2 linked regions of the Arabidopsis thaliana genome follow. The protein of the gene in region 2 purifies or fractionates together with the protein of the main gene of each other region. This does not show direct contact. Each region holds a gene or a part of one and is shown on either strand. Other genes may lie near its edges. The genes, in order: LHCB5 and RbcX1.

What was found.
Region 1: the proteins of RbcX1 (region 2) and LHCB5 purify together in Arabidopsis thaliana (affinity purification with mass spectrometry, with the first as the bait; one study listed by BioGRID). This does not show direct contact.

Annotation. Positions count from the first base shown.
Region 1 is NC_003075.7:6,406,029-6,410,457, forward strand, and holds LHCB5 (light harvesting complex of photosystem II 5), read left to right. Parts: upstream 1-1,978; 5' UTR 1,979-2,171; coding exon 2,172-2,361; intron 2,362-2,444; coding exon 2,445-2,529; intron 2,530-2,618; coding exon 2,619-2,669; intron 2,670-2,767; coding exon 2,768-2,888; intron 2,889-2,994; coding exon 2,995-3,129; intron 3,130-3,207; coding exon 3,208-3,468; 3' UTR 3,469-3,821; downstream 3,822-4,429. Other genes in the region: AT4G10330 (glycine-rich protein), read left to right, coding at 523-670, 778-928, 1,015-1,108. UniProt on the Arabidopsis thaliana protein: The light-harvesting complex (LHC) functions as a light receptor, it captures and delivers excitation energy to photosystems with which it is closely associated.
Region 2 is NC_003075.7:2,115,980-2,120,788, forward strand, and holds RbcX1 (Chaperonin-like RbcX protein), read right to left. Parts: upstream 2,639-4,809; 5' UTR 2,585-2,638; coding exon 2,434-2,584; intron 2,319-2,433; coding exon 2,224-2,318; intron 2,142-2,223; coding exon 2,024-2,141; intron 1,076-2,023; coding exon 1,059-1,075; intron 950-1,058; coding exon 887-949; intron 802-886; coding exon 721-801; 3' UTR 574-720; downstream 1-573. Other genes in the region: AT4G04320 (malonyl-CoA decarboxylase family protein), read left to right, coding at 1-49, 134-206, 289-374, 462-546. UniProt on the Arabidopsis thaliana protein: Chaperone involved in RuBisCO assembly process.

The sequences.
Region 1 (4,429 bases), 4.3 Mb from region 2:
TTAAAAATTAAACATGCATATTGGATGGAGTTTAATCTAGTTGAATCTAAAATTTAATAGTTTTACGAAAGATTTGTTATTAATTTTAGTTTTGAAATTGAGAATAAAACTAATGAGGCATCAATCCATTAAATATATGTAAGAACAAATCTTCATATATTATATAATATGTTTGGCAAATATATATAAAGTAACTGAAAACAAAGTGAAAATTTGAGAATAATTGTGGGTTTTTTAGTTTTATGTATTAAAAAAAATGTTGTTAATGAAAATCCATATTATTATGATATAAAACAAATTCATTATGAATATAAACATAACAGATATCTTCTATAAAATTCATTATGATATAAAACAAAAGATTAAAATAAAATAAACATAACAAATATCGCTTGTGAAATGAGATCTATATGACTATTGGGCTGAAGTTGGGCCTTGAGAAATAAGAGTGCGCCTTATAATATAGGCCCATTTAAAGTATGTATTGGCGAATCCACGCCGAAAGAGAGAGCGAAAGGGACGATGAGCAACAGAAGAAGAACCGGAGACGATGACAAAGGATTGCTCTGGAAACTTCCCCAAGTTAGGATCAGAGACATTGGAAAAGTTGGTCCAGCTTTTGGACTCGGTGTCGGTTGCGGATTTGGTTTCGGCGCCGGTCTTATCGGAGGTAAATTTCTAATTTCTCCCAATTTTGATCGCAGACTCGCGAATCGCTCGAAGCTATTTATAGATAGTTTTGGTTTAAGAGAGTAGAGATTGGTTTGATGAAAACAGGTGTAGGATTCGGACCAGGAGTTCCTGGATTACAATTTGGTCTTGGATTTGGAGCTGGTTGTGGAATTGGTGTAGGTTTTGGCTATGGTGTTGGAAGAGGAGCTGCTTATGATCACTCTCGTTCTTATTACAACGTTGGAAAACCATCTCTGTGAGTATTTGTCTGCAATTAGATTTTTAGTGATTAAGGATTTGAAGAAGAAGATGATGATTTTGACTTTGGTGATTTGTTGACAGGAATGAAGTTGATTCACTGATTGATGAACTTGTTGTTAGCACGAAGAAGCTTGTGAAAGCTACTACAAATGAAATCGACAAGTGGTTAAAATGATGAACTTTTAGGATTTGTTGCAGCTTCCAAGTAAATGGTAGTGTTTGGTTTGTTCTTAGATCAATAATGTAGATTTGGGGCTAGTGATAATCTCCTTTCTTTTTGTACAATTTTACGTATGGTATAAAGATGGATTCGCATAATTTAGGTGGCTGATTTATCATTCTGGTAATGTGTATGGTTTGAGTGCTGATTTTTGGTGCTATGAGTTGTTCTTTATGGCTCAACTTGGATCAATATGGAGGTTGAGTTTGAGATTTTCTCTCAGTTTAAGGAGGTAGAATAGTGCGTATAGTGGCACAGTGAGCTCAGCTCTAGGGCCAAAGGGCATAAATTCATTATAGCTCTTTCGATTCTACCGTAGTACTGTGTGTGAACCGGCACTGTGAACCAAGATGATTAAATTTTCGTATTCTCTATGTACATGATCCTGCGGCTCAATCGCTTCAGTTTCGATCCACATGATGTATATGTTATAGAATTGTGGGAAACTCCTTGTAGAAAGAGTATGTTCACGTCTAGGACTAGTCGGATGATTCGTTTCTCTTTTTGGTGTAATGAGTATGTTCATAACTGTTGATACAATGTGAAAATCTAACCGTTGAGCTTGGGAGTTTTACGTCTATATGAAAATTCCGGTTGTCGTCTACATTACGGTAGTAAACAGGACCACAGTGATTCCAAATGTCCCAAGGAATTTACTGAAAACCCCAACTAGGACTGTGAAAGGCTTGTGGATGACATTTAACAGTTGAGATTTTCATGTGTTTGAGATTCTTGTAACACATTTTGCTGTATAGGTGAAAGCTTAGCCACACAAAAGGAGAAACAGAGGATATGGATAAAATAAATTATCCAACAAAAACCAATCTAAAAGCCACATCAGCATCCACAACCAATCAGAGGACAGAATCATATTTCACATTTTCAATCCAGACCAATCAAAATCCTGAACGAATCCTACTCTCCACCTTATAGGAGCAGTTTCGTCTCTTCCTCCTTCTTTCACTTAGCTCTTCCTAGTGTTAAACCAGAGTAAAGCTTGAAACTTTGGACTAAAAGAATGGCGTCTTTGGGTGTGTCGGAAATGCTTGGTACTCCCCTTAACTTCAGGGCAGTTTCAAGATCGTCTGCTCCGTTGGCATCAAGCCCATCCACGTTCAAGACTGTTGCTCTCTTCTCTAAGAAAAAGCCAGCTCCTGCTAAGTCCAAGGCTGTCTCTGAGACTAGCGATGAGCTCGCCAAGTGGTATGGTATGTGTCTTCTAAATCCCTTTTATAATCATTTCTTGCTCTGTTTCTTTGTGAATGTGTTTGTAATTGTGACTCTTATGCAGGTCCTGACAGGAGAATTTTCTTGCCTGATGGTCTTTTGGATAGATCAGAGATCCCAGAGTACTTAAACGGTGAAGTTGCTGGAGAGTAAGACACTTTTTCATGTCTCTCTTTGTATGTATGCCTACTTTTGGATTCTGTGCTTAAGGTTTATTGGTCTGAATCTGAATTTGCAGTTATGGTTATGACCCATTTGGTCTTGGAAAGAAGCCTGAGAACTTTGCTAAGTAAGTAGATTCTTTTATCCTAAACCTTTTGTGTTTGCTTTGAGCTATATCTATCGAATTTGTCATTAAGATTGGTTCTTTAATGAATGTGGTTGTAGATACCAAGCTTTTGAATTGATCCATGCGAGATGGGCTATGTTAGGAGCAGCTGGTTTCATCATTCCTGAAGCTTTAAACAAATATGGCGCTAACTGTGGCCCTGAAGCTGTCTGGTTTAAGGTTCTTGCCTACGTCTAATCTTTATTTACATTCAGACTTAGATTCTTTAGCAAAGCAAGAATGTGTTGATGTGATGAGATGGTTCTTTTTGGAATACTGATTGCAGACTGGTGCTTTGCTTCTTGATGGAAACACATTGAACTACTTTGGCAAGAACATCCCTATCAACCTTGTTCTCGCCGTAGTTGCTGAGGTTGTTCTCCTCGGTGGAGCCGAGTACTACAGAATCACCAACGGATTGGTACATTACTCTCTAGTCTCTACATTTAGCTATTACTCATGGGAAAATGACTAAACTTGAAATGCAAATATTTGGTAGGATTTCGAGGACAAGCTACACCCAGGAGGTCCATTTGATCCTCTAGGCCTTGCTAAGGACCCTGAGCAAGGAGCTCTTCTCAAAGTCAAAGAGATCAAGAACGGGAGATTAGCCATGTTTGCGATGCTCGGTTTCTTTATCCAAGCGTATGTTACCGGAGAAGGTCCTGTTGAGAACCTTGCAAAGCATCTCAGTGATCCTTTTGGAAACAACTTGCTTACCGTCATCGCTGGAACTGCCGAGAGAGCTCCCACTCTCTAAGCCATTTCTACTTTTTTTAAGAGCTTCCAAAATGTACACTTTGTTCGATTGGAACTCCTTTTGACAATGTTAAAAAAACTTCCATCTGAATCTTCTTGATATATTTCAAATTTTCAATGGTGCTTTATCATGCTTCTAAGGATATACATAGTCACCCATTGGTTTAATATTTGTTGTTACCAAGAACGCTCTGTCACAATTTAGTCATACATTGCGATTTTATCACTAGTGGCGAGTATGGTAAAAAGTTTCACAACTAATATTGTGATGGAATTTGGGACTATATAAGTTAGTCGAGAGATGTGATCCGTTGAACAATATTAAGTAGCAGAAGATCAAATAGCAATGAGCAGTAGCAGAATATTTTCACAACTAATTAATCATTCTTACATTGTAAAGAACTAGTATTACTCACTCTCAACAATTGCATGTCTCATACAGTAATACCGATGTGTCATAAAAATGTGAATTTTGCTTCGATTGCAAAACACAAATTAGTGTTTTCACTCTGTGAGCTTTGAAGTTGCAGAAATCACAACCCCAATTGGATTCTAAACTCTAGCTAGGCATGTACATTTGCTTCGATTCAAAATAAGAATGTTTTCACTGTCAGATCAAAGGTTCAATAAGTGATAACCATTTTAAGCAAATCAAGCATTTATATTGCTTGATATTTTGTCACATCTAACCAACATTTAACAATTACATTTACTTTTAACAAGTAGGTCGTCTCTACTTCCGACCACCGTCGGGATTAGAACTCGTCCTCTGGTGTAGTCGTCAGATTCCATGATCTATGTTTTTGTAAGGCCTCAGCCCGAGGCCCATTAAAGGGGTTTTGATTATTAATATTAGTATTATTTAAAAAAAAAAAAAATTAAATCTAAATCTGAACTCATCTTTATAAACCCAAACCCTCGTTTAATTTGTAAAACTAACACATCAAGTGTTGGAACTCGCG
Region 2 (4,809 bases):
CTCGCCTATTACCAGTTTTAGAACCTATTCTTATGCGGTTATGTGCTAGGTATGTTCATTCTTGGAGGAGATGTAATGGTTATATATGAATCATATAGGCATAACTTTCAATGGTCTTTCTTGATTTTGATAGGTACCTCTTGCAAGAGAAGAAGAGAGGAAAAGCTTTAGACTCTGTTGCTAACTTCCACTTGCAAAATGGAGCGGTAAGTCCAGTGAATGACGATAGGTTTTAGTTAATAGAGTGATTGAGATTGATAAGCTTTCATGTTTTGATACGTTACATAGATGGTTGAAAGAATAAATTGGATGGCGGATCGATCAGAGAAAGGTATTCGTCAAAGTGGAGGCATTATGGTAAACTATGTCTATAGGTAAAGTAAACTTTGTACTTTAAATTATTCAGCTACGAAGCTTTCATTTTTGTTGGTCCTAAACCCATCTTATTCGATTCATGACAGGTTAGAGAATATCGAAGACTATGCTCAATCGTATTTTGGGTCGGGCAAAATCCATGCCTCTCCCGGTATCCATTCCCGTCTCTAGGTAACTCCGCAAAGAAAATCGGGTTTTGATCGATTTGCAGGTAAAAAAAACTAAGGTATCAAAACCTGGGAGTAACATAGCACAATGGTATGTATATGTATGTACAAACGGTTTCAAGTGTGTATACTCTCAAGACTCTATATATATGAATGTGATTCGAAGAGATATTCGGTTTCACTTATCAGAATCGGTTTCGACATGGCTAGTCTCCAAGACGTACTCGCGCATGAGTCTTGTGTTGGAATCATCTACGTTCTGCATTTTCAAAAACACAAGATGCTTCATTACGTACTTGCATTCATATATGTACAACGAGAGAGAGAGATAGATAGAAGTGAACCTTGAAGGCGAGGCGCTTCATATTATCCCATTCGAAATCGTTTTTACAATAAGCAGACCGTACCTAAGCGGTAACAAACGGTTTCAAACCGTAAATACAAACGTAGAGATGAGAAAAGATGTAGAAGTGTTTTCGAAAATGTATTAAAGGAGAAAAGAAAAGCTTAGCTTACCTCTAAAATTCGAAGGGCTTGTTGCATTGGCCATGATACCAAAAAAAAAAAGCAAAGTTTTTAGTTTACTTATCTCATATCAAGTATATGTATACCTAAAAGATATACGAAACTTATGGATCTACAAAGTGATTTCGTTAGTAATCCGCAAATTGGTGGAATTGTATTTCGTCACGCAATTTTTGAAGTAGTTTTTCTTTACAAGAATTGCACAGATTAGTTGTGTTATACTGTTAGTTTTGTGCCTGAGCAAATTACCCGAACCAGATGTACCAAACCAAAACCGAAGTAAACAGAACCGATAACCAGAAACTAATTGAATGGATACAAAATTTTATAATCGAAATAACTGAAACCGAATGGATACCAACCGAAATATTTTGAGTAACCAAAAATATCTAAAATATAAATATATATTTACAAAAGTATTAGTTATTTCTAGACTAGATAATTAAAAATACTTGAGAATATATATAAAATAGTAAAAATATTCAAAAATAATAAAAAAAATATCTCAAAATATCCGAAAATATCCAAAAATATCCGAAAATAACCGAAATATCCAAAAATATTTAAAGCAAAATAACCGGATGGATACTAAATTTTAAAACCGAAATAATCGAAACCGAACCGAACTTTCAAATTAACCGAAGGGATACTAAACTTTAAAACAAAAAAAAAAACGATAAGCGAATGGATATAACTGAAACCGAATATATAAACCGAACTCCCATAACTAGTTATTTTAGTGAGAAGTTTCAACTTCCAATGTACGAAAAGAATGTTTGGAAAAAGTAAAGAGATTTCGTCTAAATTACTAGAAGAAAACCAAATTTGTTAAAAAAGTATAATGTATAACTTTAAGAACCTAGAATTAAAATTCCAACTAACAAGTTTCACAAAAAGAAAACGCATACTAGAATTTTATAACCAAATTATTGATATAAAGGTGTTATTTTTGGTACCTAAGTTCATGTGACGTGAAGAGCGACGCATGAGAGTGGCGCAGAATTTATCACCGTCACTTACAGAGTTTGTATCTAAAAATTCTCTCAACTCCATATAAGCCTCAGGATTATAACTCTGTCATTAATTAATATATAGATCATACTTATTATTAATCAAAACACCTAAATTAAAAAATCAAATAAATCGTCAAATCAACCTCAAGCTGAGCAGACACTATCCTCACTGCAACGTAAGTAAAGAAGTCATGAAGATGCTTCGCTGCCTTAGCCTCCGGTGAAGCTTCTCCAAAGCCTAATTCAATTATATAACAAAAAAAACATTAGAAAAATAGGCATTAATCTATATAGAACAATTCTGTATGAATAAAAACCACATTTTGTGATGAATATGTCATATTGTTACATACCGGGAACATACATCTTGTTAGAACAAATGCGAGTTTGTTTGCATTTTCGCGAACTCTGCATTAATGGATAAGAAACCAAAGGTCTTTTTCCAAATTTTGGATTAAGGTAAGAGAGGTAAGAGTGATGAAGGAGTGAAGAAGATGACTCCATAGAAATATTGGATGAAGAAAAATTGCAGGAGAGGCATATTGTTTTACTATTTGGTCGTATATAAGAGAATGTATTAGATTCACACATTAAAATATCTAGGATATGGATAAATAAATATCTTCTAGTTGGAAGTATATAGACAAAACATGTCTTATTTGTTTCAATATCTGGTATTGTAATATCAAATATATCAATTGGGTTTATTTATTTTTATCAATTTTAAGTATTTTTCTAATAAAACAATTTATCAAAAAAATATAATTACTCTTTGTTTCTTTTGTCAGTACTAGTTAATCGGTAAAATTTATTAACTAAATGTATGTATGGCATAATTGAAAAGAGTTGTGTTCAAATGGTTGTATACAATGAAAAAATTCGAAACTCTAGCTTTGAATGGTAATTCATTATCAAAGCTGGAAGTTGTACAGTTTTGATGGTTATACATTTACAAAACTTTTATCAAAAACGTTACAAATTTTTTTATTTTCAGTTTTATTGTACAGTTTTCTCGTACAGCTATTTTTACAGCTTTGCATTATTTCAAAAAATTTGAGAGTTAAAAATTTTGTACAGCTTTGTGTTACATGTTAGACATTTAGTATACATAGACAAGGAGAGGTAGATTATAGTTAAGTTTGGTATATTACTTATATCCTTCTGCTGTTATAATTCTAAAATTCAGTAAATTTAAGTGGATCATGATCGAACACCACACCTTTACCCACAAACGTTGGCCCATGATCATCACATATTGAAAAAAATTATATTGTTACACGTGTAAATACCTACGCCTAGTGATTCAAAGGTCAAAGTCAAAACGCTAAAATTAATGTTCTAATTTCTAGATCACATGCCATGCGCGTGTTAACACTGTTAAATTGTCCACACCACACGTGTGAAATGCTTATCTTATCTTCCTATATTAGATTCTTAGTGGTTCGTGTAACTCACTCACTTCTCACCGCGTGTTAATTATTTAACTAGCCGTTAGGCGTTAGTATTTCGACAGTGTGGCAACAACTGTTATAATAAATTCTCATTAAAACCAATTAATAGCTTCATGACCGAATTATTCCGATGAAAAGATAAAATAGTACTACATCTTTTTTTTTTTTTTTGTCATCAAATAGTACTACATCTGTTTGCATGTAAATTGTATAGTACTACATCAAATTCCTTGTATGTTCTTAGTTTGTTTTTGATACATTTAAAAGGGAATATATATATATATATGTAATTATACTAAGTTCTTAAGATATTCTATTCCCAAAATCTTGATTGGATGATTATTATTATTTTAAAATATTGATAAATTTTGACCATGTAATGGGTAAATTATGAAATGCCTTGGAATTTTACTATTCATCCTACTTTTATTATTATTATTTTTATGAAATATACATATCATTCAATAACATTCCTAATTTTAACATTACAAACCACAATCGTTTGTATCAAACAAAATAGAATGAAAAGGAGGCAAAATACAGATATTTAAAAATTTAGGTTAATTTCCAGAGAATAGATTTTGTGGAGGAGAAATACATGGCATATAGTTCACAGTACAACGTTATGTTTTACATCTAATAGCAACCACCAACATATGATCTCCATCTTCTACATATACATTTTCGCTGCCATTTTAACAAATAAATCTTCAAGTTGGAACTTATTTACAAGAAATGTTATTGACATTTATTATTATCAAATAATTAATATTCTTAATTATTAGCATTTACTTATCTAATATATATCCATCAATTCTAATTACTTTTAAAAAGGAAAAATGTTAGGATTTTATTAACATTATAATTTATTAAAGATAAATAATATAGTTATTTAAAATTTATAAAATATTTAGGATATTTACCGAAAAATGTTTAGAATATATATAATATATGAAATGTATTAAATTAAATAACCATTTCAAAAGAAAACTTTAAATTGAATTGAATTATAAATCTTTTAATAAAAATATTATTAGAACAAAAAAAAAAAAATAATGTTTAATTTACCGAACTAGATTAGATGGAGAGACGGATGTAGAATATTATAATGTATGACTTTTACAACAATTAAATAACCATTTGAAAGAAGATTTTTAAATTAATTTGAATTATATATCTTTTAAATTAAAGTATTATTAAAATAAAATAACAAAAACAAAATGTTTAATTTCAGTGAACGAGTTTAGATGGTAGGACAGATTTGGGTCGATTGTAATA